Linked DNA regions of Drosophila melanogaster. The protein of the gene in region 1 interacts with the protein of each later gene in a pairwise test. Each region holds a gene or a part of one and is shown in the gene's direction. Other genes may lie near its edges. The genes, in order: CG16904, CG11327, nub and BNIP3.

Evidence for each region.
Region 2: the proteins of CG16904 (region 1) and CG11327 interact in a two-hybrid assay, tested with the Drosophila melanogaster proteins (one large-scale study listed by BioGRID).
Region 3: the proteins of CG16904 (region 1) and nub interact in a two-hybrid assay, tested with the Drosophila melanogaster proteins (one large-scale study listed by BioGRID).
Region 4: the proteins of CG16904 (region 1) and BNIP3 interact in a two-hybrid assay, tested with the Drosophila melanogaster proteins (one large-scale study listed by BioGRID).

Annotation. Positions count from the first base shown.
Region 1 is NT_033777.3:9,814,299-9,820,878, reverse strand, and holds CG16904 (uncharacterized protein), read left to right. Parts: upstream 1-3,899; 5' UTR 3,900-3,921; coding exon 3,922-4,137; intron 4,138-4,209; coding exon 4,210-4,782; 3' UTR 4,783-4,951; downstream 4,952-6,580. Other genes in the region: CG42857 (uncharacterized protein), read left to right, coding at 1-250; CG9458 (uncharacterized protein), read left to right, coding at 1,012-1,239, 1,304-1,870; CG9459 (uncharacterized protein), read left to right, coding at 2,513-2,740, 2,808-3,377; eloF (elongase F), read right to left, coding at 5,859-6,431, 6,497-6,580.
Region 2 is NT_033779.5:6,682,342-6,689,643, reverse strand, and holds CG11327 (uncharacterized protein), read left to right. Parts: upstream 1-2,931; 5' UTR 2,932-3,081; intron 3,082-3,144; 5' UTR 3,145-3,149; coding exon 3,150-4,577; 3' UTR 4,578-4,802; downstream 4,803-7,302. Other genes in the region: Tsp (thrombospondin), read left to right, coding at 526-848, 907-2,390, 2,447-2,580, 2,649-2,719; Nhe3 (Na[+]/H[+] hydrogen exchanger 3), read left to right, coding at 5,696-5,918, 6,774-6,898, 6,961-7,149, 7,214-7,302.
Region 3 is NT_033779.5:12,583,625-12,591,681, forward strand, and holds the start of nub (nubbin), read left to right. Parts: upstream 1-4,000; 5' UTR 4,001-4,428; intron 4,429-8,057. UniProt on the Drosophila melanogaster protein: DNA-binding regulatory protein implicated in early development. Involved in neuronal cell fate decision. Repressed directly or indirectly by the BX-C homeotic proteins.
Region 4 is NT_037436.4:20,512,972-20,523,373, reverse strand, and holds BNIP3 (BNIP3), read left to right. Parts: upstream 1-3,980; 5' UTR 3,981-4,366; coding exon 4,367-4,406; intron 4,407-6,069; exon of another isoform or gene 6,070-6,097; coding exon of another isoform or gene 6,098-6,113; exon of another isoform or gene 6,114-6,675; intron 6,676-7,241; coding exon 7,242-7,513; intron 7,514-7,587; coding exon 7,588-7,649; intron 7,650-7,750; coding exon 7,751-7,930; intron 7,931-7,990; coding exon 7,991-8,042; 3' UTR 8,043-8,775; downstream 8,776-10,402. Other genes in the region: Pss (phosphatidylserine synthase), read left to right, coding at 1-22, 90-171, 693-730; CG5104 (uncharacterized protein), read right to left, coding at 1,088-1,219, 1,597-1,714, 1,790-1,959, 2,147-2,218; mTerf3 (mitochondrial transcription termination factor 3), read left to right, coding at 2,634-3,420, 3,480-3,757; CG32425 (uncharacterized protein), read right to left, coding at 9,688-10,236, 10,299-10,402.

The DNA of each region.
Region 1 (6,580 bases):
CAAACAGCCGAAAATGAAAAGGATCACGTGCCAGGATAAAAGCGAAAGGATAGCAAAGAAAGCAGTTGATCAATGTGTGGAAACTGAGAAGAAGGAAAAGAAAATGCGCCCTCTCAAAAGCTACAATCCACGTGCAATTGATCCACCTAAGGTGCATCGTATGCCGACTATCACACCTTTACTCATGCAAACTGTGATAATTAAGAATCGGAAGTATGTGGCCATTAGTGAGACAGCCGACAACGAGTGATATGTACTTGGCCTGATTTTTCAGTTTTATAAGGCAGCGACTGGTATCTAATTAAACTAGTTTCGACATATGCTCATTGCCATCTATTGAAGCGCTTAATAAAAAGCACAAAACGAAATTGGTAGACTCTTTTAAAGTTGATTTCGACACATATATGTATGTACATTGTATTAAAACCCACTATTGCATTTAAATAAGTGCACTAGATGCCGCGACCCGTATTTAGTTCTAAATTTGTTATGGCTGTTGCCACTTTTGTTGCACTGGATGTGCGTGATGTGGCGGTATTTGTTTATGTACCATTTTCGCATCCGCTTTGCATGGAAGTTGCTGCAGTTGCAGTTTGGCCACGCCCACTGCGTAACCCGATGCGATACGAAAATGGCCGCCCATCTTTTTGTACCGCTTTCGTTTCGCATGTGCGTGATTTTCGAACATTTCCCGGGAGCCCATTAAACTTTTAATGGAATTTTCATAATCATGTTTAAAGTTGCGAAGGTACGTGGAAAGTTTTGCATTATTGGTATTGATTTAAAGCCAAGGGGAATCAATTTTCATGGTTACTTTCACTGTCTGCCTCCTCAGGCTCTTCAAATTAAATACAAATCATGCATTTGTCGCATGCTTCGAGTATTGGTAAACCCTACTTGCCGTACTCACGCCTAAATTACCATACCAATTAAGCGTGTTTATCGAAGCTTATAAACCACAATAAAATTAGTCGCATTTCCATCGATCCACGGTAAGCACACACAATCGCAATGTTGGGTGATCTAGTGGACTTTTTGGGCAAATCCCCACCCGATCCTGTGCGCCTGCCACTCCTGGCCAGCCACAAGCCCGTCCTGATGGTATTGGCCACCTACCTGTTCTTCGTAAAGATAGCGGGTCCAAAGATCATGCGGAATCGAAAGCCCTTTGACCTTCGCGGTCTGATAAAGGCGTACAACATCATGCAGATCGTGTACAATGTCATCATGTGCTTTTTTGTGAGTTTCCCCCCAAAAATATCAACCATCACGGATTGTTTAATATAGAAATTCCACTTTACAGGCTGTCCACTTCATGCTGGGACCCGGAGACTATAACTTTAAGTGCATCAAGAACCTGCCGCCGGATCATGAGTACAAGACCTGGGAGCGCTGGCTTACGTACTCGTACTTCTTCAATAAGCTGCTCGATCTGCTGGAGACGGTCTTCTTTGTGCTGCGAAAGAAGGATCGCCAGATATCCTTTCTGCACGTCTTCCATCACATGTACATGCTGTACTTCAGCTTTATGTATCTGTACTACTACGGATACGGTGGTCATGGGTTCTTTATGTGCTTCTTCAACGTCGTCGTGCACATCATGATGTACAGCTACTACTATCAGTCGTCGCTCAATCGCGATTCGAAGGGCGATCTGTGGTGGAAGAAGTACATCACTATCGTTCAGCTCATCCAGTTTGGAATCGTTCTGGGGCATAGTATCTACACCCTAAAGCAACCGGACTGTCCATCAGCCCGGTTCTCGGCGACCTGTGCCGGCAGCATCTCCGTTGTGTTCATCATCTTATTTAGCAACTTCTATTTTCATGCCTATATTCGACCCAAGAAAAGGAAACAGAAAAACATCTAAGCTAGAGCCAGTCATCAGATTTGTTCTGTGCAGCATTTAGATCTCTATAGAGAAACCTATTTTAATTTTAGAGCTAATAAAAAACATAAAGATGTATTTGAATTGTATATCTGTTTACTAGTAATGACTGATATTCGGATGAATATTATGATGGAAAAGGTGGAATAACACAAGACTTTGCCCGAAATTGTATGCTATTACTACGAAAATATCAATATCAAACAAAGTGTAAGTAAACTTCATTAGAAGTGACACGGTTAGAATTATATAAAATCGATTGATCTTAGAATACGTTAAAGTTATTACGTCAAAAGGCATTAAAAACTGGACTGCATTTAAAACTGGACTACATTAAAAACTAAATACGAATGCCATTATTTTACCTTTCGTAACCAGGGGACAGTGGATGTTCAACATATCCGGCATTCCAAGCGATGGAAACCTATTTTCCTTACTTTGTGACCGCAATACCCTCTTATATGGTCGGCGTAATAGGTTTTACTTACGTATGTAGGTATTTGTATAATAGAAACACACACTTAAATCAGCCTCGAAAACGAGCAGATTACCATTTCTCGGTTCTCGGCCGGAGTCCACATCAGTCGCTATTCCACCGACGTCGATAACACTTAGATATCCGACATGTTTGCCCATATGCTGGACTTCCTGAATCGATCGCCACCGGATCCTGTGCGTCTTCCGTTGACCAGCAGCCACTGGCCGGTGTTGACCATCCTTGGAATCTATCTAGTCTTCATAAAAATAGTGGGTCCTTGGTTTATGCAGAATCAAAAGCCCTACAATCTGGATAGAGCTATCAAGATCTACAACATCGTGCAAATCGCATACAATGTCATTTTGTTAATATTTGTAAGTAATGCTCTTTTTTTTAACAAAAATATATTAATATTCATTATATGTATCTCCAAATTTAAAGAGTGTGCACTTCATGCTTGGTCCTGGCAACTATAACTTCAGTTGCATATCCAATCTGCCGTTGGATCATGAGTACAAGAACTGGGAGCGTTGGCTCAGTTACTCCTACTTCTTCAACAAGCTCATGGATCTGCTGGAGACTGTGTTCTTTATATTCAGAAAGAAGTATCGCCAGATATCGTTCCTGCACGTTTTCCACCACGTATACATGGTGTACATAGGCTTCTTGTACATGTATTATTATGGATACGGCGGCCATGGATTCTTCTTGATCACCTTCAACGTGGTGGTGCACACCATGATGTACACCTACTACTACCAGTCGTCCCTCAATCGGAACTCGGGTGGCGATCTCTGGTGGAAGAAATACATCACAGTCGTTCAGCTTGTCCAATTTGTTATTATATTCTCGCACAGCGTCTATATCCTCCGGCAAACTGATTGTCAAACATCACGATTATCGGCAACTTGGGGCTCACTGATATCTGTAGTATTTATAATTCTATTTAGTAACTTCTACGTTCGCACCTACATTCTTCCCAAGAAAACGAAATCGGCGGTGGGCCGATGAGCAAAACTAATTAAGATTTAATATCACTGTTCCTTACATTAATCAATGTCATTAATAAATGCTTTTGATACAACAAATTCATTTGTTTTATATCATTGTATATATCGTATATTATACATAGATATATATTTTACATAAAGCAATGGGAGATATTTGTTGGTTTCTAGAACTCTCTATCCACTCGACTGCTTAATGCTATTAAATATGCAAAATACCCCTTTAATTGGGTCTCGCCAGTATTTTATAAATGTAGAACACTTTTTTTGTTGTATTGACAATAATGTCAAAAGGAGTAATTTTGTAAATAATGGCACTGCTGATTAATAAAATGTTGAAAATAAAAACGTAGTTGAACTGTTACTTATATTGTATTTAGTTCGATTTGCAAAGCTTTAAGTATTCAAGTTGAAGGTTGATAGTGGGTTAAACATACCGGAAATTTGCACTAATGTAATTAGCAAATAGGTAATAGTATAGTGGCTATCGTGAAAGAAAGAAATCACAGAAGGTAAAAGTCAAGTCACTCGTTAAGTCGTGCGCGAAAATGTTCGAGGTGTTCGATAAGCCCTTCGCCGATCCTGTCCAGCTGCCGCTGGCGGGCAGTATCCGCACCTCGGTGATCATCATCACGGTGTATCTATTGTTTGTGCTCAAGCTGGGCAGGAAGCTGATGGACAAGCATGAGGCACTCCAGCTGCGAGGTGTGCTCAAGTTCTACAACATCGGACAAGTCCTGTTCAATTCGGTGATTTTTGTGTGGGTACGTAAGTCGAAGGATATCGATATACACAGTTTTTTAATCGTTTTCAATGGATTGCTCCATATTACCCAGGGCATCCATCTGTTATTCGTGCAGAAGCCGTACAACCTGAGCTGCATGCAAGTCCTGCCGCAGGATCATGAGCTAAAGTCCACGGAAAGGACACTGTCGTACATGTACCATCTGAACAAGGTGCTCGACCTGATGGACACCATATTCTTTGTGCTGCGCAAGAAGCAGCGCCAGATCACGTTCCTCCATGTGTTCCATCACGTCTTCATGGTCTTCACCTCGCACATGCTGATCCGATTCTACGGTTTTGGTGGCCATGTCTTCCTGATCTGCATGTTCAATGTTCTGGTGCACATCGTCATGTACGGCTACTACTACGCCTCGTCGCAGAGCCAGAATGTGCAGGAGAGCCTCTGGTGGAAGAAGTACCTTACCCTGGGCCAGCTGGTGCAGTTCCTCCTGATGTTCCTGCACTGCATGTACACCTATTTCCAGCCAAACTGCTCGGCGTCGCGGGGTGTCATCTATGTCATAAGTTCGGCCAGCGCCTTCATGTTTCTGATGTTCACCAAGTTCTACATAAAGACCTACATTCGGCCGAAAGAGGTCAAGTCCAAGGGCAAGGTCAACTGAATGCACCTGCTACACTGTGATCAAAAACTGGTAATTCGTATGTACATAACTATTGGGGTGCATAGGAATGAAGAGTGTCTTTCCAACTTTCATACAATTTTTGTTATAAAATTCCCACCTTTGATCCTGTTTTTTTTTTGTATTATTTAATAAGAATGTATTTGTAATCAACAAATATTTTATTATTACTTTTACAATACATTGGCTTCTTAAATTAAATTTGAATTATAAAGTGATACATCATTGGTTTCTCTGAGTGTACTCGACAATTTGCATATGCGCCGTTTGAATAATAGATGAATTCAAATGCATCGACAGTTAATTCAAATGCAGTCGAAAAGGTCAAGGAGTTAGACTCCGTCCGGAATAAATCCCATCGGCCACATCTCGACTACTCGTGGTTTCCATCGTCGAATCGAGGGGATTCCCCTTGGCACGTGATCTGCATGCTCCGCAGAACTTGGACCGAGCACGTCTCTGGACATTCCATGCTGCATTTAATTAGAATATTAGGAACGAGCCTGGCCCAGCACCGGCGATTTATGGCACCGGAAGGGTCACCCGTGGCCGGCCGAATTTGCATAGGAATCGCATGCGGCGAATCAGAGTCAAAGTGCCAGCTGAATAATTGCGGCCATGCGGCAACATTAAAGCGAAGCCGCAGTCAAGTGCAGTGGTTCCTGGTTGGGCACTAGCTTTTCGGGTCCTTCGTCCTTAGTCCTTCGTCCTTCGTCCTTCCTTGGCCCCTGGAATGGGGCCTCCAACTGGCCGAGCCACCGAGCGTGCTGAGTAATTGCCGTTTTAAATGACATTAAACGTGCATTGTGCATGCACTTCCCTTAGCAGTCGCATGCCTGCGTTTCCCCTTTATGCATTCGATTTTTAGCTATTTTTATAACTACCCTTTGCATGACACTGGTGAGACTGCCTTCAAAAATAGTTTGACGCCAAGAAAACAAATGTTTTTTAATTCATTTACCCCATAAAATCATATATGAAATATTCAAAAATAGGCTGTGGCTATTGTTGCTTCACGAATCTTTAGGCTTTGTACTCATGATTTAGTTTAAATTTAGTTAATTTTTGTTTTGTTTCGCTGACTTCTTTCCTGGCTTTATGTAGTTGTGGTAATAAAATTGGCTAAATATCACTGCAAAAAACGCTGAAAGCGATCCGCATCCGTAGGTCAAGGGTCTGTTGACCGCGCAGTTGGGCTGTGCCAGCGTGATGGTACAGTGGAGCAGAATAATGGCGAACTGGACCAGCTGAGCAATTGTGATGTATTTCTTCCACCAGAGACTTCTCTGCACCTCCTTGCTGATCGAGGATAGATAGTAGTAGGCGTACATAATCACGTGGACGGCGGTGTTTAGCAGGCACTGTGGAAAGGCAACGCCACCGTATCCGTGGAAGCAGTAGTAGAGATATCCAAAAAATGCCATCGCAAAATGATGGAAGACGTGCAGGAAGGATATCTGTCTGTCCTTTTTGCGGAGCACAAAGAAAATGGTTTCCACAAGGTCTACGAATTTGTTCACCAGGTACAAAGTGCAAATCAAACGCTCTCTATCCTTATATTTGTGATCCATCGGCAGGCTAACAATGCAACTGATTTGGTAGGCTTTCAGGACAAACAGGAAGTGAACTCCCTGTAAAAGTAGCATCCTCCCATCAGAACCTGCAGATGTCCAGAAGCCCCAGTTCAAATACTTACTAAAACGAGTATTAGACCATTGTAAAGGATCTGGAATATGTTGTAGATCCTGATGACGCCATTCAAATGGAAGGGCTTTCGGTG
Region 2 (7,302 bases), on another chromosome or scaffold:
ATAAACTCCATCATTGGCCACACAAATTTTTATTTATTTACCCATCGAAATCATCCAAACCAAACCCACATGCCTTTCTATCGCATCATGTTTATACACTATCATTTTCTGGTCATACATTCAGATATATCAACGGTGAGTGGAAGTTGAACTCGAAATATCTTATAGATAATTATAAAGAATCAGCTGAATAGATATAACTTATTTCAAAGAAAAGCTATATCATTTTACCCAGTGTCCATGAATCGGCAAAGAATCGGAAAACAATATAGAAGTAGAAAGCGAAGTAGCACAAAAGCTTATATACATATAGTGTTTTTGTCAAACTTACATCGAAATTGTCATTTTTCAAACCGTTTTTTAAACAGAAAAAGTTTTCTTTGAAGAAAATGGCTCATAAAGATACTCATACATATGTGAGTGAACATGTTGGCAGCTTCGTGAATAACTCACCTGTTTCCATTCGTTTTATTGCATTGCAATCATCTTAATTCGTTTTTGCAATTACTTTTTAACTTAACGAAGGCGCCCAGTGCCTCCAGGTTGGCTATCCGCCCTACTTTCACTGCATCTCGTGTCCAATGGGCCACGAGGTGAACGGAACCAGCTGCCGGGATATGAATGAGTGCCTGCTCTACGATCCTTGCGACGAGCTGGCGACGTGCACCAATCTTAGTCCTGGCTTCCAGTGCAGCCCGTGTCCCGTTGGCTTCGATGGCACCCACGCCCATGGCTACTTCGCCGACTACTACTCCGTGGATTATCGCAGGCAAACGTGCCTGGACGTCGATGAGTGCCGCACTGGGTTCTTCCGATGCCCGGAGCATTCTACTTGCATCAACGAGATTGTGAGTACGATACAAATTTAAAAAAAAATAGTTTAAAAGTAATAGATTTCTTTCGCAGGGTTCCTACAGATGCCAATGCCACGAAGGATATGTAACAAATGGCACCTACAGCTGCCTAGACAGATCCTCGGTGTTCATGTGTCCGGATGGAACCGTTTGTGACCGCAATGCCGTGTGCCTTAGGATGGATAACATCCGCCACAAGTGTCACTGCAATGTGGGATGGGCGGGCAACGGTTTGATTTGCGGTAGGGATACCGACGTAGATGGATGGCCAGATCAGGCAATCGGTTGTCCAGAGCTGCGCTGTCAGCGAGACAACTGCCCGAAGTTGCCTAATTCAGGCCAGGAGGACGCCGATCTGGATGGACATGGCGATGGGTGCGACGACGATGCCGATGGCGACAATGTCCAGAACAGCCAAGACAACTGCTGGCTGGCCTACAACACCGAGCAGCTGGACTCGGATGGAGACAAGGTGGGCGATGTGTGCGACAACTGCGTGCTTAAGTACAATCCCAGGCAGTTGGACACGGACGAGGATGGACTGGGAGACGAGTGCGATGGTGATATCGACAACGACTCCATACCAAATGCGCTAGACAACTGTCCGCTGCTGCCGAATCCCAGTCAGTCGGACGTGGACAACGATGGTGTGGGCGACGCTTGCGATAACTGTCCGAATCTTCCGAATCCCGACCAAAAGGATCGCGACATGGACTTTGTAGGCGATGCCTGTCACAGAGACATCGACGGGGATGATGATGGAGTTCCAAACTCGCTGGACAACTGCCCAATGGTCAGTAACTCGGACCAGCTGGACACTGACGGTGATGGAACGGGCGATGAGTGCGATGACGACATGGACGGAGATGGGATACCCAACTACAAGGACAACTGTCCGCTGGCCAAGAACCCAAAGCAGGACGACTTCAATCGGAATGGCAAGGGTGACTCTTGCGAAGATGATGAGGACGTAGATGGTGTACCGAATGGCATGGACAACTGCCCGAACAACTCGATGATTCATCACACTGACTTTCGCACTCTTCAAACCATTCCACTGGATCCCAAAGGCCTATCGCAAGCGGATCCCAACTGGGTGGTACACGCCAATGGCACCGAGATAGTCCAGACCCTCAATTCGGATCCGGGACTAGCGGTGGGCAAGGACGCCTTCGGAGGCGTTGACTTCGACGGCACCTTTTATATCAACGATGACACGGACGATGACTACGCTGGCTTTGTGTTCAGCTACCAGAGCAGCTACAAGTACTACGTGGTGCAGTGGAAGAAGGGCACCCAAACCTACTGGGAGCCACGACCCTTCACCGCCTCTGCGGCGCCGGGCATCCAGATCAAGCTGGTCAACAGCACCGAGGGTCCGGGCCCAATGATGAGGAACAGCCTGTGGCACGAGGGAAACACCGACGGTGAGGCCAGGCTGCTGTGGAAGGATCCGAAGAACATTGCGTGGAAGGAAAGGACCTCCTACCGCTGGTCCCTGGTGCATCGACCGGCCATCGGCCTCATCCGCCTGCAGTGAGTGATGGCACCATGACAGGGTTCCCATGTCTTCATTCTCCTTCTACCCACAGAATGCACGAGGGTAACCGCCTGATCTTCGACTCGGGCAATGTGTTTGACTCCACGCTGAAGGGCGGTCGGCTGGGCGTGTTCTGCTTCTCACAGAGGATGATTATATGGTCCAACCTGCAGTACAAGTGCAATAGTAAGGGAAATCGAAACAAAGTGGTAACTTCAACTGAACTAAACTTTTTTCTATGCTTTTCAAAACAGATCGTGTGAAGCCGCTGATCTACAATGATCTGTCCGACTATCTCAAGACGAAGGTGGAGTTGCAGGACTGAGGGGAATCGCAATCCTCAGAGCCATTAACGTCTTTTCTGCCATCAATTCTAACCAAATTATGTATTAATGCTACCACTAAGTTAATAAATGAGTTGCCAATCCAGTTGGCCATTGGAGCCGCGTTTTCCAACACAAAAATGAACTGAATCAAGTTGGCCTGGCTGCACGTGAAATCAGGAGACATTGCCTGTCAATCCATTTAGTTCAATTGCCACAGTTAGGCGAACACACTTTCGCTAGGGAACGTTTTGATCACCGAAATAAGGGAAAACCCATGTTGAAAACATTGATATAATATTTCACGGATGTCGAACTAGTTAACCAGGTTAAATTCAGTCAGTCTTGCGTAAATTTATAAAGGGTAAGTTGGAGCACAGTGCTCTACCAAATTGTGCTGACCTCATTCATTTATGCGTCCAAATAGCCACGATGGCCAGCCGCAATGTGCAAGCAACTCCATCCCAGGAAGAGCTGAAGCGGACTGAGAACAACAAGAATGTGAAAAACTCCGAAGAATGTCAATCAATGGAAAACGATGTGGACGCGGTTGTCCCATCTTCGTCGGAGAGTGAGCTGCGGCCTCGCAGTTCGGGAGTTAGGCCCACTAAAATTCCGGCTCCACTTTTCTTGGGACCCAGTGCCAGCAGCCGGATCTACAGTTCACTGATGCCCGAGAGAAAGCGACGCTCCTCCATGGAAAGTCAACAGATGGCCGACGATTCTGGCATCAATTTGGATTGCTCCACGGACGAGCAGCAGACTACGCTGTCGGCCAGACCGAGTCCAATGCTGCAGCCGATGCTCGACAGGATTCCGGACACTAGCAGCGAGTTGGAGCTCCGACTGGCAGAGGAGCAGACTCTCAAGGAACTTCAACGCGTCGTCGCCGAAATGGAGGCTGATGTGGCTTTTAATAATTTAGATATGCAAAATCTACTGCCCGATGATATTGACCAGGATACACAGGTGCAATATGACGCCACTGATGTGGATACACAGTTGCAAAATGAAGCCTCTGATGTGGAGAATGGTGCCGAGTCTTCCGGACTAGATATGGAACAGCTGACAGGAAACGATATTCAGCAGGAAACACTTCCTGAAACACAACCCGAAGAACTTATACCAGGAAATGTACAGATGGTGGAAAAAGAAATTGCACCGAAAGGGGAATTTCCAGAAATAAAGGAAACTGCCGTGGAAATAGAATCTTTAAAGGAATTCGAAATTGTCCAGCATTTGGGCGAAGAGCCAATAGATGAACACACAGAGATCGTCCAAGAGACCCCGCAAGATCCTACAGACGTAGAATCCGAGAAATCTGTACCCGAATCGGATATGGAGGAACTCGAAACGTTAATTAATGAAAGTAGCGAGTCCGAAGAGGACAGGCTTGTTCGTGAACAATTCGAGAAATACCCTGAAACATTGGAGCCCATGTTTCATCCAACGGCGGATGAGATTGTGTGCATTGACTCGGTCCCGGAACTGGCCGACCATCCCTCACTAGATGGGTCGGTGCAAAACGGTCGCGAGATGGTTACTTTGGATGAACTATTTGATCCGGAGTACAATGTGCACCTAATGCGCCAACTTTTGCAGGCCAGAATAGAAGAGAATAGCGAAGTTGAAACAGCTCCAGACTTGATAGAAAGTGAGCAAGCGGAAGAAAGGGAGACGCTGACGGGCCCGGAGGCGGAAATCGATATGGAGGAGGAAACGGATCCGGACCTAAAACAAACTGGCAAGCCCTTGAGTTTCTTGAGGCGTCTAGTCAACCACAGAATCCTTAAGCTTAGCTATCCCATATTGTTCTGCAGCTTGGCTTTCAGTTTGGTCTATATAATTCGCAAGGAGTAGAAGTTCACTATTCTAGAAATGCAAATTGGATAATGCGAACTTGCGAGAGCATACGTTTCACTACGGTATATCTTAGGAAACACTTCAAAATCGCCCGACGCATTGGCATAGTTGGGTTGCTTTAAATATCTATTTTCCAAATAAATATCCACAATATCACGGCCGCACTGTTTGTAATTTGTATAATTTGTATGTATATTTGAATTAAAGCGCCAATTACTTAACATTCTTTTTGAAACGAGCGCTAGGTGGCGCCTTTGTCAGGTCATACTCTTGTTGGCTAGGGCAGGGTAACGGTTATCGATAACCGGAAACTGCACCTGCCCGTTTACTGTTTTCCCGGAATAATTACCGATGGAGGAACGGCGGAATTCTAAACATGGGGAATTTTTTATTTATTTTTTTTTTTTTGAATGTATAGAGGAATCGTGAAAAATAGCAATGATACGAACTTACAGATCTAACTATGTCGGTGGGACACGGAGAGACTGGTCGGCGGGACTAGTACTAGACGACGGGAAAGAAAATTAATAAATGAAAAGGCTAATTTGACGCAATTCCCGGAATAATAGTTTTTACTTGGAAAATAGTTTGGGATTATTGCAAGTTTTAGTTTTACATAACTATTATATTGAATACAAATATCTTTACTGAACCGCTCCTGTTCAAAGGCAATATTTTTTCGCGTGCTAGCGTGCGGTCACACTGCAGTCGCATACGGTTGTTTCCATATGAACGAACAAACTGTTTTTTTAGCGGAGTGCGCTGCTGTGAAATTTTGAAAGCTCTTTTTGGACCCTTTAATTTTATGTAACGGCTGTGCGGCACATTCAATATCCAAGCGAAAGGAGGTCCACACACTCCCCTGGCGCCGCCTGAGCGTGGTCGTCCTGCTCCGCGCTTCTAGCACCATCACCTCCACCACCACCCCCCCAACCCGTGAAACATAACGCGAAAATCGATTTCGGCTGCAGGCGCAGGAAGAAACTGAAGAAAGTATGTCCCACGGCGATGTGGACCCCGAGGTAGAGATGACATCGCCCCACCGTATTCATGGGGACGCAGGAAGTCACCCAAGGTCGCAGACATTCTGGAAGCTACAGTGCTGGCGGAGCAGCATGCTGCTCATAGTCGGATTTGCATTGTGCGTCCTCGCGCCTGGATGCAGCGCCACGGACACTGACATCGCTCTGGACGCCAAGGCCACGCTCAATCACCGCATCCAGAGCCTGGACCTTCTAGTCTTCGTGTTCCTGCTGGCGCTCACAGTGCTCACAATTTGGCTTTTCAAACACCATCGCGTCTCCTGGCTCCACGAGACGGGATTGGCCGTCATCTACGGTACGTTGGTAACGCGGGCAGCTTTCCCTTTTGGCCATGTTTCCCTTAGCTCGAAAGACTTGATTATCGGTCACCTGCCACATTCATTGCTACCTCTTTGTTGTCACCAATTTCGAATTACGCCTTTGTCCACGCCAACCGTGACATTACGTGCGCACATATGGGAGGCAGTAAAAGCCACCCCGGGGTAGAAGTAACATCAATATCCGTGAAAGAACCTGCACGCAACGACAGCAGAGCTAATGCATTGCGGCAAAGATATTGTATACGAGACCTTGACTTGCTTAGTCAGTCAATATCATTGGGGTTTTCCGACCGAATGTATTTTCACTGCTCGTTCATGATCGCGGCAATCTGCCGAGTACTTTGTTATTCTAACAATTTCGTTTATGTGCAGCAATAAAAGAGCAAACAAGATTTCGTTCGACTAATTGAAGCTAATGAAACAATTCAATAAAACTGGTTGGCCTGGGCGTCGACAAAGCCCAGCTCTGGTGTAAACTGGAAAAGATTATTTAGCATTCGTCCGGCAGGGCCAGTGAAAGCATTTTGTTATGCGCACCACGATTAATCATCCCCACAAATTTGTTTATCGGCGTGAACATAAAACACTGATTCCGTCTGCGAATTATGAACCTGTTGAGTGGTTGCTTAGTTGATAAGGCTTGATATGGCTTGACTAAGCATTTTTCTAAGCGGCTATTAGTCACACCCTTGCTTTGCGATAGGTCAGTCCAGAAAACAGTCATACTAGCTTTATTTCATTTAAGACCCGGTAAAATTACATTACAATTCAACTTATTTTCGATCCCAACTGCAGCAATAGCCAAAACTAATGTGTTTACCCCATTTCAGGCTTGATTGTGGGTGCAATTATACGATATGCCGGCACCTCCGCCACCCTGGTCCACATGCAGGTGGAGCCTCAGGGAGTTCCAACGTACAGCGATAAATTGCCGCCTGATACTCTTTGGTTTAGGGTAAATCATTAATGGCCAGAACGAATATATGTAAATATATTACAATTTGGTTTTAATTTTAGTACCCCGTTAATCAAACAAATGGCACAAAGCCGCCAGAGGGAATCAAGACGTATGCCTACGTGTTTCGAGGACAGGTACACGATGTGGATGAGAACGAAATCGATCTTAAGGCAACGTTCGATCCGGAGGTATTTTTCAATATTATCCTGCCCCCAATTATCTTTTATGCGGGCTATAGCTTGAAAAAGGTAAGTTCATTGAGCCGCCAATTGTATTGAAAAAAATTTACCGAGATATATTTGGCTTTTGCAGAAATACTTCTTTCGCAACTTGGGTGCCATACTTACGTTTGCCATTGTGGGCACGACTTTGTCGGCCTTCCTAATCGGAGGCTTCATGTA
Region 3 (8,057 bases), on another chromosome or scaffold:
GCTTAATGTTGTTGTTGTTTTTTTTAAGAATTTCTTTATAGTAATCCAGAACTTAATATATAAAATATAAGCGCCCAATCCATTATATTTATATTTTTATAAGTTTATTTATGTATGCTCCATAAACTTTTATATGTCTACACTAGAAGCGAATATAATATTAAAGCCAGACATATTTGCCCTAAGGTGCGACTTGCTTAAAAACAATTAAACCGCAGAAAAAGCGCTAATAAAATATTAAAATAATCAAGGGAACAGCACGCCAATGGCTCATTTGTAATGCTCCAGAAGAATTCCGCGTGTCAGAGGAGAGCTGATGTGGATATATAGTGGATATATAATTACATGGCCTTTTGTTGTCTGCACTTTGCGTTCGCCGCAGCGGGTGTTGTAATGCGACAATTAAAGTTATAAAACTTTCTGTTTCTTGGCCGGCCTTAGCATAATCGCACAATTTGTCAACGAGCCGGTCGCAGACAACCCCTTTCATATCGCATTTAATTGTTTTTTCCTGATTGTTCGCGCTTGCCAGTATTTGGTTTTTTTTTTCTGTTTTTTAATATAAATGCAAAGTTTTGGGGTTAACCAGTGGGGTTTAAATGCGTTAAAGAGAAAAATGTGCTCGACATGGCGTGCCTGCAAGTGTGAAGTGAAAAATTGACTTTCAGGCATCTTCATATGGATGAGTTGCCATTAGGAAGCCAAAGGTAGTATTTTCTAGATCTACACTAGGGAAAATATATGTTTACCCGTACATATACCATATTATCATGCTAAGTAGCTAAACGTACAGGGTGGCCAAAATACCAACCACAATTTAAAAGCTAATTACATTTTCATGCTGTACCTTTAAAGTAACATATAAGCTAATTGGGGAAATATTCAATTTATATAATAATTTTATATACTAATAGGTCAAATAATTATTTAAATGTAAATTACATATCGCTCCTAAAAATCGCCACAACCGACATTGAATTTTTTCGCACTTAACCAGTAGCATTACAGATTTATTTAATGTAAGGAAAGGCTCCTATCAAAATCGTAAAATCGCTATTATCTTTGGCATAACAATCATTTGGAATATTTTATGCCGCTGTTTTACCAATTATAATCAGATTAAACAAGATAAATGCATTTGGCGAACAGCGAAAAATGAGAGAGAATGCCATAAAGCAGCCAAATTATTGCAAATAAATATGGATGTAAAATTGCTGAATGAGGCGGCTAAGAATTTGATTTGCGGCTACATTCTATGACATTTAAATGGAATACATGAAATCGAGCAGTTTATGCTGAACAAAACTAACCATCGGGATTAGACCATAAAGCATGCTAGAGTGCTCGTGCTCGGCGGTGTATCTGCCAGATATCTAGATACGAACTCGCATCTAGACTATGCGTGTCAGCGAGTGTGTAGTGTGTCTTTCTCGAAGTCATATTCGTATTCGTATTCGTATTCGCATTCGCATTCGGATTGGGATGCTTCATGGTGCACTGGGCCTGGTCTGGACCATCAAACCAGAACGGCCGCCTTGGAAGAATTCTGCCATAAATCATGGTCATAAAACTTAGCTGTAATCTGCGCAAGCAGTAGAAACACTGTTCTGTTCTTTTTGCGGAAGCATTGCGGACTTTCAACTGAGCATAACTTTGATTGATAATGATGTGTCAATAATATGTGTTTGCAATTTTATGCTGACTGAGTAATGTGAATGTAACATTGTGATGAAATGCCTCCGGCTGGAGTAACATTTAAATGGTAATTTAAACATCGACTTAAGTTCCAGGAACCAATCCAACCATGATGAGCCCATCAGCCGAAGGACAGCCCATCATTTTGTAATGGTGGTATATCATCATATTGCAATAGAAGCTTATTAGGCAAGCATTTCATGATTAGATAAATTAGGATTTTTCAAATTTTATTACATTTTCAAGTAGTTTATAGCAAGTTATGCGGAAATTTAGCGCTGAATACAGGCTAATGTAAAAAAGTAGACGGGGCAGGGATTTGATAGACTTTTTTTTTAACAAGAATTTTTTAGAAACTCAAAAGAAATAAATGGGTAATAAACAAATAAATACATAAAAAATACTTTAAGCAAATGAGAAAGTTTTACGAGTTATCGTATATTTGTATTTATTATATTTTTAATACTTTCAGGTGACTCAAAAAATTTTACTTCCCTTACGGATAGGGTATCCCGGATGCCTCTGCATTAAATCTATAACTTTGCGGCAACACTGAAGCGGCAACATTTGAATGACCAAAAGCGCGCAATGCGTGGAATTTGCATTCAAATTGGGGCCCGTTCACTTGGGAGGCCGGCGCCTTGAACAAAGTGGAAATACCGCAGAAATGCAAACGACAGGCTAATAAGCTCAAGCGGACAGTTTGGAATGCCTGGCCGGACTGCATATGGTAAACAATTGGCCAAGATCAGCTCCAGTTGGCCGGAATTATGCACCCAGGTCGTCGATCGCGCCGATACCCGATTCCCGATCGCTGTTGACAGCTTTTTTAAATGCCGGCAAATTGAGCAACAGGTAAAATCTCCAGCCCGCGGAGGTGAATCAACTTAATTGCTGGCGGAATTGTGTCAGCAGATCGTGCGTATGCGATTTGTGAAGCAGCGGCGCCCTCCAAAACAATGCCCTTCAATGGAAACTCCGCGGGGCAGGTCCAACCTGAATGCTCTTCGCCATTCAATGGATAACCGTTTAGCTGGGAAATATTTCTTTCGAATTTTTGACGATTAATTTACATTGTTGAGTTTATCCAGATGATGACAAACTAAATACACTCCATATAAACAGAACTATTTTTTATCATGTGTAAAATAATAATTTTGTGTAGTTTTTTTTTTAAGGTATTGTTAGCAAAATGTAAGTAAGCACGTAGTAAAACAAAGAAAATGTATAATTATCTAGTTATATAATTACATATAATTTCTTATCTGGATGAAACCAAGAATGAATGGCAAGATACATATATAAATTTATTTATTTCAATACAAAAGTATTGTACTGAATTAAGCCAAAGGGAAATAAATCGCAATAAATTCAAATTCCCTCGCAATTAAAAGCTTTTACTACAAATTCGCATTCCTCTAATCAATTTGTACTTAGATAATAGCCGAAGCAAACCTAAAAATAACGCTGCCAATAAGAGGCGTTGGCGAAACCAGTTTGCAAAACAAAAATCCAATTGGATAAGTCCGGGCCCCAAAATAAAGATAAAGCCCCCACCTGCGTCAATGTGACAGTTAACGAGGCGATATATGCAGGCGGAATGAGAGTCTATGCGAACGTATCTCCCAATTGGACGGAGAGTCACGGCTCCACCTCCAATTGGATTAAGTAGGCACACACACAAGGGGGCGATAATCATAAATTTAAATAAAGCGAGGGAGCATGCAAGTGAGAGAGGGACAGCGAGCAACCAGATTTGAATATTGCAAGAGTGTGTGTGAAAATTAGCGAGCGCGATTAGTTGTCTCTTTTTCCCCAACGGGTCAGCTTTTTGTGGAACCTAAGTGAGCGATCGCTGCTTTTTGCAGTAGTAGTGGTGAGTGGAGAGCGCGCAGAGAGAGCAAGAGCGAGAGTTTTTCAGAGACAAGAGAATTTTAGCTCTCAAACTAAACTTAATTGTTTTTTTTTACACTAAAATGAATTAATGTTTAAACATAACTCATTGCGGTTTTGAGAGAGCTTAAGCGCTCTCTTTTATCCCTCTCCTGCAATTGCAATGTTGCAAGCAGGTGTGCATCTGTGTGTGCAAGTACCTGCAGCAGATACGAGCAACTAAAGTCACGCACACTTACAGCAAAACCCGAACACAGAGACACTTCACATTGCAATTGTTTCAGTGCACTGCCGTTTGTTTATTTGCCTTTTGTTTATATGGATTTGGCAAAAAAAAACTTGTTGCAGCCCGCTGCCGTTAAAGTTGCCGATCTGTTGCGCATCTTTAAGATACTTTTGGCGAGCTCGCCTCAGTTGAGTTCAGCGTTCAGTGGTTGTAGCTCAAGTGCGCGCGCTCCCCGGACTTTGGCAACACATTTTGTCCTCCGCGATATCCCATGCGCTACTCGACCGATACAATACGATCCCGAATGAACCCCTCTAATAAAAATCCCCATTCTCATCGCTCTCGCGTCGCGATTTTTCCGATCTCTTTTTGTGCCGCAGTTTTTTGCGTTTTGACGACGGCATTTGTGCGAATCGAAACGTGCTGCGAATGAGACGCAAATTTCGCTCATAGTAACATCATAATTTATTGAAAAACTATACGCTTATAGTTTTTAAAGAGTGCCCCATATTGTGCAGATAAAGTACAGTGATAACTAATAACTTATTCACTTGAACGAAATGAATTTGATATTTAAAGATTGAAATGTTTGTCTGAAAAACTCAACAATTGAGGTAAATCCCATGAGTATTAAATTAAGCTATGAAAAATATAAAAGAATTCATAGAAATTTTATTGACACATATCTAGAAAGGTTGATTATTTGTGTACAAGTTGTTATACATGAAAATAAAATAACAATATACATGTGCAGAAAATAAATTTAAAGTTGTAGTTACCACAAAAATAAATTTTTTAATGATTGAAAACCAAGACCAAGGGTCTGAAGCTTCTTGAAAAATTTTAGAATTGCTTACAGTCATCTTTTTGGTATATAAATATTTAAATACCTTGGTAACCAACAAATTTAGGAAAGAAATACAATTGTATAAATGTTTTATTTATAAAAGAAAATAATAATGGGTCATTTAATAAATAACTTCACTGATTTTCTAATTACGAAAATGACTTACCTTTTTTGACTAAAAGATTGAACAATTTTACAACAAGTGACATCCGAAATTTTTGTTGATAAGAGTTCCCCAGGCCACCTGGACCCTAATCATGATTCATTCAATTAATCAAAGCCGTGTAGAATTTCACAATCCTAATCTGCAATCTCTAACAAGCTTTAATAAATGAAACATTTTTGAATTTATGTTGCCTAGCGTTTTTAAAGGGTTTTACCCCACCCCGCAGCAGTAAATAGTGTTTGACAATCTATAAAACGGGCTTTTCACCACTTAATTTACTGAAAATTACTGAAAGTAAAGGAAATGTATACCATATAAGAGGGGGGATATTGTATAAACCATTTTTAAGTAAGGCGCCTTGAGTTTCAGACCGGAGGTAAACAGAACCTGCATCAAAGTTTACTCTACAAAAGTTGAAGTGGGATACCTGTAACTCCAGTATCTTTCGCAATGTCGCCGGGGGTGAACGGTGAGGCGAGAAATAATATTGAAATTGAAATAAATAAATACGGCAAACAAAGTGCGAGAAAAATCGATCGATTTACACTTTAAATATCGTACCAACCCACCGTTCGATTTGTTTAATGTGTATATCTATATCAATACACAAGCGTATATTATGTTGCCTTATTGATAAGGCGATCGGCACGATATGTTTTATTAGCATAACACTTGTGGTGTGCCGCAGTTTTGAGTTCAAGTGCCTCTGGACAAGTTGGAACTGCATTTCCTTTTGGTTGGACACTCGTTCTTTATTTTTTTCTTATTCAAATGCCGTTATCTGGGTGGCGTATATAGATACAGCCGTACAGATACCATTACCATTTGCTGTAACGATCGAGTGATTGATTATTTTTACAGTACAATAATAAATATTTGTCCAGCGTTTGTCGCGTTGCCTGCTTAGCCTAATTAGATAAAAATGGAATGGAAAAACTTAACCTGCTTCTTTCTTCTCCTTCTCGTTCTTGGCGTAGCATTATCTCGACTGCGTTTTCCCATTTACCATATTCGGTGCTCCTCCAGCCGAACTGAACTGATTAAGCCCGACCGGGCCAAGAAGACCAAGACGAGTTGGTTCTTATTGGAGTATCTATATCTATGCGTAGACCCGTGTCGACAATTGCGTCGAAGCTGTTGTTTAAAAAGAGAAATGAGTTCAATTTGTTTGCTCTGGCCTGATAAGACAACTCCGTTCGCAGGTTGGTTGGGTGGTGAGGTGAGGAGAGTTGAGATAGAGTCAAGAGCCAAGAACCAGTGCCATGCCACACACTTCATACCCCAGCACTTTGCATATCAACAATGAAATTGTTCATGTTCAACAATGAAATTTCGGCCAAGCCCCAAAAAAACTAATCAATTGAATGGGTATCGATTTGATAGCAGGATCCTCAAAGGTGACAGGTGCTCTGAAAATGTCTTTTTTTTTACTCTTTAAAGTTACTTACTTTTAAAGGTGATTAGGATTTGAGTTTTTCATTACGTTAGGAGCATATTACTCCCATTCCGAAAATAGATTTATAGTCACCCGCTTTAAATAATTTGTAAAATGAGGTCATATATCAGTGAATTAGATTCTTATCAAGCTAATCATTTCCGTATATCATTTAAATATGAATCACTTGAGACTTGGCGACCAAAAGAATCAGCGGATGGTTGATAAGAATTATTGATTTCTTTGCGGTTGATAAGCCAAATTCGTTAAAAGGGTCCTTTCCCCCACTACTATCTTCTTCGTGCGGAAATTCGATTGGCGCGATACAATAAAATATAATTTGCAAAATTAACAAATAAGTTGAAGGCTCGTGATTAAAGTTTATTAAATTCAATTCTTGGAACTCGTAATTCTTTCACCGGGGGTAAACAATAGAATCTTGAAATATGGGCTGATGTTTAGTCCGCGCAAAGTTCATTGGGGGGCTTGTTTCGCTTAACACGTTTCACATTTCGCAATCTTGGAAATCGGTTTGCACCGGTTTTTCACTTTTTTGTTTCGATGGTTTGCGTTAGGTAAGGTCCGGTGCGATACAACTTGCCTCAAGTGGCGTTAAGTTAAGGGCTGCGTACCTGATATTTGGCACATTAGCAAGTGTCTTCTTAAGTATATGTTTATTAACTCTAAAAAAGTCATGACATTTATTCCATTATTATTATCATTATAAATACGAAATTTATTGCACATATGTAGAAACTAAAACAGCTAACTTATATTTTATATTTTATGATTGCATCACCATATATTCTTATCTATAAGTCGAGTAGCGAAGTGCAGTATAAGCCAAATATCGCAATTCCAAGAAGCACCTCCCGTTTTATAGATCTTGACTTGGCTAAAATATTGTGCTTCCCCCTTATTGACCTTTTTCAATTCCTCACTTGAGACTTCTGGCACAAGTCGATCAGTTATTACCACGTGATACCACGTCGATCGACGTCTGTTCTTGAGGACCCGTCTGCCAATAATCGAAGGCAATAAGAATTCAACGTGACACAAGAACAAAACCGTAGTAATAATAAATAAATTTGTCACAAGTTAAAAAAGCAGGAACAATGAATGCCATTCATTAGTCAATTACAGTAAGACTTGGCTAGTTAACAAACACAGACGGTTATCAAGATAGAACCCGGCGATACCGCGAAATGGAAATGAGTCAAAAAACAGGTGCCAAATGGGGGAAATGATGATGTCTAGATAGAAAGACAAATAATTTGTTTAGAATTAGGAATTTGGGGCTCCGGCGACAAGGCAATCAGTAAAGTGTGGCTAATTAATATTGAGCTGCAATGGGGTTAATTTGTCTTAGTTTGTAAGTCACAAATTGTTTAATTTAGTGTTGAATATTCGGTGCCTATTTTCATTTTTTTTTTTTTTCGTGGAGCAGAGCTAAGCCAACTTGAGCCGCAGGAAATCTCTCTTTGGCACATAACGAATGGCGCCCCATTATTCATAAATGGGAAATATTCAGACCCCCTTCGATATGTGAAGGGTGACAGAAATCGATGAGGGACCTCTTCTATTTGCCTACGCATTAAATGTAATTAATTTTGTAAATTCCGCTAATACACATGGACTTGCCACTAAACTTCTATTAGCATTTTAAGACCACGAGTTAAAAATACGCTTCTATTAATTGTCAATTTTTGTACGATTTTATCCACATATTTCTGACTTTGCTAAGCCTTCTGCTGAAATTGATTAGCTAGGCAAGCAAAAATAAATATTCGCGCGA
Region 4 (10,402 bases), on another chromosome or scaffold:
CTACCTCGCGGTTTACTGGCAGGTAAGAGCTAATTTGAATACAACTCGAATTGTGCAGATGTGCTAATTTGTGCAATTGAATATTTCAGCAGCGACAGCTGAAAAAGGTTTCATCGACGCCCGCAAAAACAAAAGAAACTATTCCTGCCAGCTCATCATCGCCCTCGAAAGGTATGTATAGCCATTTAACAACTGCAAGCAACATTAAATGGGTTAAAATATGAACAATTATCTTTGAATTGTGTAGGGTTGTTCAAAACGTCTGTTCATGTCTATGGTGGATAATTTGGATAACTCCGTAAAATAGGATAACTATTGTGCTTAATTGTGGCATAGCAAATTTCGATCATTTCAGTCCCTTTAATGTTGCCTGCCTTACGACTAACTTTCTTTTTTGCGCCCGCTGACTTTCTTTATTATTGGCTCAATTTATGGTTAACCACAATGTTTTATCAACTCAATTTGCTCTCAATTTAAATTCTCCTTGCGTTTCTCCCCTTCTCTGTCTCTTTCTCCTTCTCCGATTCTCCGCGGATTGCATTGCCACAAAAAAGCACAATTGCCAAGGAGTAATTCCATTGATGCACCCAACATCATGCACTACGATATTAAAATTAAAATAGTCTAACCAGTTATTGTTAACTTTTATATCTGCTACTTTTGATCTACAATTTTTCATTTCACTTTTCTAGGTAAATTGTCGCCGCAAAAAGAGAAGAAACTAAAATAAGAAGTTGATATAAATAAACTTTAAAGCTGCAGAAACAAAGTGGATCGGGCCATTCTTTAAATTAAAAACCAAAACAGAGAAGAGAATTATGTACATAAACTAAAGAAAACTGTACTGATTAAATTAAATACATAACATGTAAATATATATATATATATGTATAAAAGATATATATATATATATATATATATTTATTAAAAAGACAAAATGGAATTATTGTACTTGTTAATAAGAGAATATAAAGGACATTCTATGTTCTAGTGCTAGGTTAATACAATACAAAAGATTTAATTGTCTTAGCTTAAGCTACAAACCAATCTGGCTTTTCTCGAGCTATGTACAGAAGCGCATCTGATTCTAGACCTCCAGAATTGCCGACATGGTCTTCTTGACCGCATCGCGGGCGTAGGGGATGTACGACAGCGAGTACCAGGTCATGGCCAGAGATTGTATGATAATGAATATAAGCGTGAGTCCCGCCTTTTTCCACTAAAGCCAATCAAATAAAAATAATAACATATTAAGTGCACACATCGATTGCATCGTACTGTTTTTTTGTTCAAGTAATAAGAATTAAACCAATATTCAGAATTTAATTGCTAGGGCATGTGAAACTGTGTTATTAATATTAAAAGTAAAATGCTAAAAGCTTTCATTTAACTTTACTGTGAGTTCATGAAGTATGTATAAGATTTGGATCGCTATTTCATTGGATAACTTTAAAGTCTAAACATTAAGGAAAAGTTTTCTACAAAACCTGCAAACAAATTCGTCATGCTATCGCTATAAAACTAACTTGATTATAAAAGTTAACGACCGAACCCTAAATAATTGTGATATCTTCGATTTGAGCATGGACGCCTTACCACAATAGCAGCGATGAACGTCAGGACCATCATGACGAGCACGATGATGGTGGCGATCAGCCGTGTTTCCGCAAACATTTTCTTGATCTGCTTGAAGGGACCCATGAGAAAGCAGGTACTGAAACCGGAGAAGAGAGACTCATTAGCCGGCTTGTGTGAAGTACGAGTGGAACGGAACCAGCAACTCGCTCACCTGGCCATCGAGATGACGTTTCCTAGAGTGTAGAAGACCGCAAAGACCACAATGCCCCTGTGCAGAAATAGGGCGACCGAGCCGAGTAGGGAAAGTAAGATGCCCAAGGCAAAGCAGATGACGAATCCCTTGATCCGAGTGGACCAGCTCAAAGTGGACATGTCGTTGATCTGCGTATGTAATTGATTGATATTAACTAAATACTTTGATAAGCGTTGGGTCACACGGCTTGGGGCGCCATGTGATCGCGGGGCGTTGCCAGCGGCTAGCTCCTAAGCCACGCCATAATCATAATTCCTCCAGCCAGAATATGTTAAGGGATCTAATGAGATCTGTACCATTAGAAAATTTCTTCACCTGCGTAATGATACTGCTCTCCTCCTCCGGAGTGGGCTCATCTCCACTCAGAACGCGGCGCAACTTGTCCATTATGCGGCGATTGAATAATGTTCAACAGGTGGCTGACTTGGAATTACCGGCACTCCTCTCGGGGGGTTTTGCACATACAAGGGTCTCTTCTGTTTTTATGCTCCGGAATTTTCACACCAAAATAAATCCAAGATCATACCTAGTGTGACCGTGGTGGTAACCGTTAACATATACCGTCCGATTAAAAATTATACCAACAATTTGCAATTTTATATATATCTTCATAAAAAAACTAAAGAAATCAGATATTAGTAGTGCATTTTTGTTCAAGAATATCCATTTAAAAACAAATATGTTTTTATATCAAAATCATATTCAAAATATAATTTTAGCTTTTTCTAGCTAGCATGCCATATTTAGAAACTTTGGCAGCCAACTGCTGGTCACATTCGCGACATCTGGCAACGCCTCCAGCATGTTTTGTTCAGCTCTACGTAACATTTTGAGGAATTCACAAAATGCGGCTAAAAACGCAACAATTACCTCACAAATACGAAATCTGCGAGGACAACAAAGTGTCCACCATGAGGTAGAAGTGTTAACATCACCGGGTATAACCACCAAACAGAATGACAAGAAGACCGAGCCTGCGGAATGTGAAGGCTCCAAAGAAGTGGCTCTGGACTTCCGAAATCGGGAGGCCCATGTGCCTTCCTTCAATTTGGCGGCCTATGTGAACAACTCGAGTACCCTGCAGCAATTTCTCAGCTTGGGAGTGGATCTGCACAGTATTGAACGGCGAAAGGGATTGGGAGACTTTGTACTGAAGCTGGATTTCGAGAAAAATGTGAAGCCCTACATAACGTTCCTGGTGGATCAGGGCGTATCACCCGATGACTTCGGCAGGATGTTCACCAAGAACCCGCTGCTGTTCAAGGAGGACTTGGACGATCTGCAGACCAGAGTGAACTATCTAAAAAGCAAGAGATTCTCGGACGAAGCCAGGCAAAGAATTCTCACCCAGAATCCTTATTGGCTGATGTTCTCCACCAGGCGAGTGGATCGTCGATTGGGTTACTTCCAAAAGGAGTTCAAATTGAGTGGTCATGATCTGCGACTGTTGGCCACCAGAGAACCCAATGCCATTACCTACAATATGGAACACCTCCGCAAGTCTGTGTTCACCCTTAAGGAGGAAATGGGATTCAATGCCAAGGAGCTAAGTGACCTGGTGGTACGAAAGCCGCGCCTCTTGATGATTCGTAAGTCTATCTACATTCAAAATTAAGGACATTTGTAATTAAACAACTTATCCTTGCAGCTCCGGATGATCTTGTCGAGCGATTTAGTTACATTCACCAGGATATGGGCCTTCCACATGCCCAGATTGTCCAGTGCCCGGAGCTTTTGGCCTCACGCGAATTTAGACTGCGGGAACGTCATGAGTTCCTGAAATTGCTTGGAAGAGCGCAATATGATCCGCAAAAAGACCTGTATATATCGCCAAAAACTATAGTGGAAGGCAATAACTTTTATTTCGTCCGAAATGTGGCTAAAAGTGATTTGGAAACATTTGATTTGTTTTTGAAAACGAGATAAGAATAAAATAAAAGTAAATGTATATATACTTTTCATATTCATATATGCATATGCATATATTTTCAAAAGTCAACAGAAACCAAGTTTTATCATTTTAAAAATAACCACCAATAAATTTACTTGATACAAGGGATGCCAGATGTAGGAAAACATAGACACGCACCTGGATTGCTACCGTTTCTCCATCTGGTCACACTGGACAGCAACAAAAGATTTAAACTACGCATTAAGCTTGTGCGTAGAAACGAATCGTGTTTAATTTTAGTTACAAGACAGTCGCTTCGGGAGAAGCATTAAACAAAGTTGCAATATTTCGGAGCTCCAGCGGTTGGCTTCAGTCCGAAACCAGTAGTTATAGTCAAATCGAGTGCAGCGGCGGAGAAACAGCGCCAAACGAAAAGTAAAACGCATTTTCCTACGCATACATAAACAGCAAAAGCGAATACACAAACACAGGCAGACATACGGAAGGGCCAAAAAAAACTTGGTCAAACTCACGAAAGAATAATAGAAATAGTTTAACTTTAAAGCGAGTTAATAATAAGCAATAAACCCAAGTTATCTTTGGTGTTGACGTGTTGAACACACATACCGATAAACAAAAACAAAATGTCTACGACACCAAAATCGAGCGAAGATTTGCTGGGCGGTAAGTTGTTTGTTTTCGTCTGCTTTGCTCTTTCATTCGTGTTTTTTTGCGTCTCCCCTTTTTACAATCATAACAATAACATGGTAACCCGTTATGCCGCATTGTTGTTGTTGCGAGAGTATCTAGACATGTGTATGTATTTATGGAGTTGTTTGCAATTTGTTAGTATCCGCATCCCATATTTTTTCAAGGCTTTGCGTTGTCTGCTTTTTGATTTCTTTCTGCTTTTATTTGTTTACTTTGCACTTGTTCTTGCTCCGCAGAGGGGGCGAGAAAGAAAGAGAGACAACAAAGAATCCGCAAAACTCCGTATGAAAACAAAGACAAAGAAGCTGCCAACGCACTCTTTCTCCCTCCGCTCTTTCATTCATGTCATGTCTTGTTCCTTTACTTTGCACTTAGCACGCTTGACGTCAGTTGTGGTTTACTTTTTGCGCTCCCCATTTCCCCGACCCGGTCTTCTTCTTCCGTCTGGCTTGCTAAAATAATTCGTAAATAAATACATTTTGTGGGAGGGCATTTCCCTATCGGTCGTTTCCAGAAATTGCGCCTTTGGCATATTCGCTTCAATTGTATTTCGGCTGCCCACTTTATCAACATCCACGTTTACACTCGCGGAAAAACTAGGTTATATAAATTTATACTCATCAACGTACTTGAATGTGTTTTTCAAAATCTCTTAATTTTATGAAAATCGTATGATGGACAATATTCAATAAATTTTCTTAGGAATTGCACGAAATGTTGAAATATTTTGTTGACATAAAGTATAATCTTTTTGGTTGACTGCTTGAAAGCACTTTGTTTGTTTGTCGAAAAGGTTGTTGACTACCACAGAAATTATACTACAATTCTGCAAAGTCACTCACAAAAGTAATGCCGGACGAAAAATTTGTTTTTCAATTTACTACCATCCAAGCAGTATTAATCTAATCAGTTTTAGCCCAAATCGAACCATATGTTATGAAATACATCACTTTTGAAAGGTTTGACACAGTTTGGATGTGGAATTCCGTTATCAATGATAGCATATAAATATTATTCATATGTATTTCTATACGTTTGAATGAATCTGATATTAATCTTTTAAAGCTAAGTATGTACATATGTATATGAAATAAGTGTGTAAGTAATGCGCCGGCTTGATCTGTTTCTTGACCTTAAAACACGTGCGAAATGAATGACCAACTTAGAGAAACATTTTTTCTTTGTGCACTGTGCCATATACTACGCAAGAAATCGTATCATGATACCGAGGAGTCATCCATCCAATAATAAAGGCGGTTCAATGGGCCCAACTCAGGGTCTTTTGGACAGCTGCGCATCAAGATGCACACCCGACAAAGCCCGAAGAGGGTAGGGTAGAAAGAGAGAGAGAGAGGGGGAGTGATTGTTAGAGAGAGACGGAGGGTGGTTGGCCGAAAGAGAGGGAGAGAGGCCTACGTGCCGTGAGTCACAAAGCCATTGTTTTTGTTTTTGCCACCCTTCTGTGCACTTTTGCTTTTGTTTTTGTTTCCATTTTCGTACCTGTAACCCGGATTCCCGATAATGCTCCAAATATTGTTTACCTGTGCAAAACTTCTGCGTCTACCTGACATACGGGCATTTCCATTTTCTATTTTCGCAACATTTCCATCATAAATGCATCATCCTTTTCGTCTAGACGATGCATTTAGTATTCAATTGTCAGCATGATTGGTGTGCCACGTGAGTGATCTGAATTATTCTGTAACTGATTCCATCGCGAAAGTGTCTAAATTAGATGATTGTACAGTGATAACTCGAGAGAAAGCAATACCAGGAAGATTTTAAATTTATAATGTGACATTACAAAATTATAGAAAAAATTAATTTTAATTAATTAGAAAGTGAATAATAGATGATATAAGAGGCGTTGGGTGTGATCGTATGTGTGATTATATATATGCGTATACATGTAATCAGTTGGTTGTATTATTAGGTAGTTTTTAGGAACGCTACACTGTACTCCTTATCAAGTAACTTGCACGCTTCTCGTGCCCATATTGCATCGCCAGTTTGTCTTTTTTCTCGATTTGTTTTGAAAATGAAATTTTCTCCGTAGAGCATTGATAAGCATCGGCTTGTATAGACTATAAACAAAACATGTGTGCTGCTTTATATACACAGTATGCCGAAAAGAAACGGAAATTATGCGAGTGGTGGGGTTTTTAGCGTTATCAATGGGGCACGAGCACTCGAACAGATATATACAAGCACATACATTGCAGATCCGGCTAACGAATCGAACGTATGTATGGTTAAAATGTTTTTACGTGTAAACAAAAACGAAGACAAACGCTGAAAGGGTGACGATGGCACATTTTTAGAGCCGCTGCCGCCGCACAGTGGCTCTCAAACTGCACGCCTTTCTGAGTAAACAAGTGAAACTACTTTATTTTGTCAGCAAGTGTAATTTTAGACAAGGGATTACTTTAAACTGACGTTTATCAGCTTAGAAATAAATAAACTGTTTCATAAATAAACAGTTAAATAGGGTTAAACCATTCAAAACTTAAACATCGTAAAATATTGATATGTTCTGTATGAAAATTTCTAAAATTAAATTAAAAATTGTTGTTAACGAACCTAGAACGTTTTCGTTTGTATAAATTCAATAAAGAACGTCATAACGCACGTCTGTGTTTGGACTTCTCATGTTTATTCAACACGCCCCAAAAGGTTTCGACCCTCGAGCCTGTGCTATATTTAACCACCTCCAAATGCAACCAACTAAATATTTAATTTCACCCCATTTGGCTTTAGCTTTCACCCACTTTGTTCGCCAGTCTATCATGCTAATGATCTACTTTCCAGAATCTTGGATCGAACTCAGCACAACAGCTGCGATGGCTGGCATCAAGAGCCCCGACAGAATCACTCCGTTGCCATTCAACAATGGCGAGGAGTACCTGAGACTTCTGCGCGAGGCCCAGCGCGAGTCGAACCAGTCGAGCCGTGTCGTCTCCTTGGCCAGCTCCCGTCGTGATACGCCCCGTGATAGCCCCAAGAGTCCACCGAACAGTCCCCAGTCGGAGCTCTGTCCGGATGATGAGCTCAGAAACGTGTACATCAACTACTGGACCAAGGTAAGAGATGAGAATCGAGGCGGAACCGAGGTGATCTTGCTAACAATGCCAGTCTCTGTTTTTGCTTTTGCCAGGGAGGAGACAAACAGAATGCAGGCAATGAAGATTGGCTGAAGAACTGGAATCAGCCACCCAGGTATGAAAGTTTATTTAGCTAAGTTTCTAGAATCTAGAACTAAGTTTGGAGCATTGCGGCCTTTTACCACAAATGGTCATTCATTGAATTATTATTTACAGTAGCTGGAACATTGAGGATTCAAGTCGGGATGCCGGCGACGAGGGCGAGAAAAAGAAGACTAACACAGGCTACTCCATCCGTTTGAAGCGACTGGGCTCCAACTCGTTGTTCTCCCGCGAAATTCTGTACTCGCTGCTGGTGACCAACGTCCTGTCCCTGCTGCTGGGAGCTGGATTCGGGTAAGGGTCTCTAGCAATCTTCACCAGATTCACATTTCATGTAATGGTATTTATTTATAGGCTATGGTTGAGCAAGCGTGGCATACTCCTTACCCGTGTGGTCATTGACTGAAAGATGCCATAAACAAAAAGGAGAAAGAGGAAATATATATAATCGTTTTCAATCTATCAATATGCACATCAATCGAAAACAGAACACGATGCGTTCCATATAAGAAAACGAAGTATACACATCTATACAGCCAACCGTATTCCAACTCATTTGTATTTTTATCGGAAGTCTATATTTTCGACACCTTCTCATTCAGTACATACCTATAAAAATGTAATTTCTAATTACTAAGCCAGCAAACTAAAACAGGCCTTTGGGCAATGGTTGAAACTAAGCGTTTTCATATTTTATATAATTTTATATATTTAACATTATATCAAGGCAGCAAATCTAATGATACAGAAAAGCATTTATAGATGCTCCATATATTTTGCTTTAGCCGTATGTCTTAGCACCCAACCGTGCATTATATCCAATACAAATGTACGCCGAACTTCGTGTTAAGAATTTCAATTTCATCATCATACATCATATAGAACAACCATAAACATTTGTAGACATATTATAGTTGAATCGTATTGTATCCTGATTGTACTTTTTGTTGAACAATCGTCAAATGTTTCGATACAATAAGCATATAAGAAAAACGATACAAAAGGAGAAAAAAAAACAATATGGCACACATAAGATTATATCTTTAATGTGAGGGAAGGGTTATCCCCCACACAAAAAAAACAGAATAGTTGTAATGATTTTTTATATTAAAATATTTTTCAATATCTATTTAAAAGAGCATCTGCAAACATTTTTCTTTGGTGGGTTTTACGGAATTGCAAGAGATGGCTTAGAAAGTTTTGAGAATTTTATAATCTTGGAAAGACGGATTAGTGAGATGAAAGGGATTTTCAGGGAAGTGCTGCAAGGTATTTTGAGATGCCTTTTGTCTAAAAGGCATTCCCGGTGCTTGTTGTTGAATAAGTCGCCTGTTGTTTTGAAAATCGCTAGACGTGTACCTGTTCGCATTATCAAACTGTTTCACATAAGTGAGGGCTTGGATTACCTTTGTGTATATAAAGGGAAAAACCCGCTATTTGCATTTCGCCATTAATATTTTTTTGAGATTATCAGCAGTGAGTCAGTATAAGCGATAATTTCATCATAATGTGCTAATAGTCAACTAATTTTGTTAGTTGATCATTTAGACTTGTTATCAATTGCCAAGCGAATGCAATATCGATACGAACTAAACTGCCGCCCTTTAAAGTGCATAAACTAACTGTTTTTGAGTTGCTTTAGCAATTGTAATTTTATTTAAAGTTTTATTAGGTAATAGTGTCTAAATACTTAGGTGATTAACACAGTTCCGAAACTAATACATATTCCGTGTGGTTGCTGGGAAAAATCCTCGTGACTTAAAACAATATTCAATCGACGATTTGTAACTCAATGAAACGATCGCTGGGTGATCGTTGCTAGCTTTGATTTTATGCTATATAGACAGCCATAAGACGGTGAATCGAGGCAAAACTGGGATGCCAATTTAAGTACAGCATAATATCAGATCAGATTAAGATCCGCGCATTATATATATATATATTGCCTAAATCTAGATGGTTAACTATAGCTACCATTTGAGCCAATATCAGAGACGACATCGAGATGTGGAGAGAGGAAAAAACATTCTTAACTGACTTTTGGCCCTGGGCTATTCCTGACCGTTCGAGTTTCTGAGATTTTGTGCGGCGGTGCTGGTGGAGGGCGTTGGCGAGCCAGGGGGCGTGGGAGTGCGTAGGGAGCGTTCAAAGTCCTCCGCTAAATCATCGTCATCTCCCTCCTGTTGCCAACTGTCCAATGCGGAGTCGACATCGAATTCCGGGAACTTCAGCGTTTCCCCCGTCACATCCACCAGCCGAGATCGCAATCTCTGCGAGATCTCCTCCAGCTCCGTGTATTTGCGCTTGATGGCCTGGCCCAACTGCAAGTGACCCAGTTCCATGGACTTCTCGAACTGATCGATTACGGTATCTACACTGGGCGATATGGGCTCCACGTGCGCCTCGATTCCCCCAGTCACACGTCCATTGAAGTCTACTATGTTATGCCATCCGCTGGGAAAGCCTCCGCCCGCTTGTTTTTGGTTAAGATTAAGTGCAGCGAATCCTATTATGGCATCTTCATGGGGAGACGGCTCTGTGATGCCATTTGGGCTAACAACCGCCTTTTTCCAAAGCTTCAGAATGAAAAGCTTCTGGGGCTGCAAAGGAAAAATGGAATGTATTTAGGTGATCTCTTAGAAAAGGTCCTTTTAAATCATACATTGCTGCGATAATCGCGACTCACGTCCACGCGGAACTTGCTAAGCCACTGGGGCTTCGTCGATTTGGGTACAATTGGTGTGGCGTACACCAATCCTTCGTGCG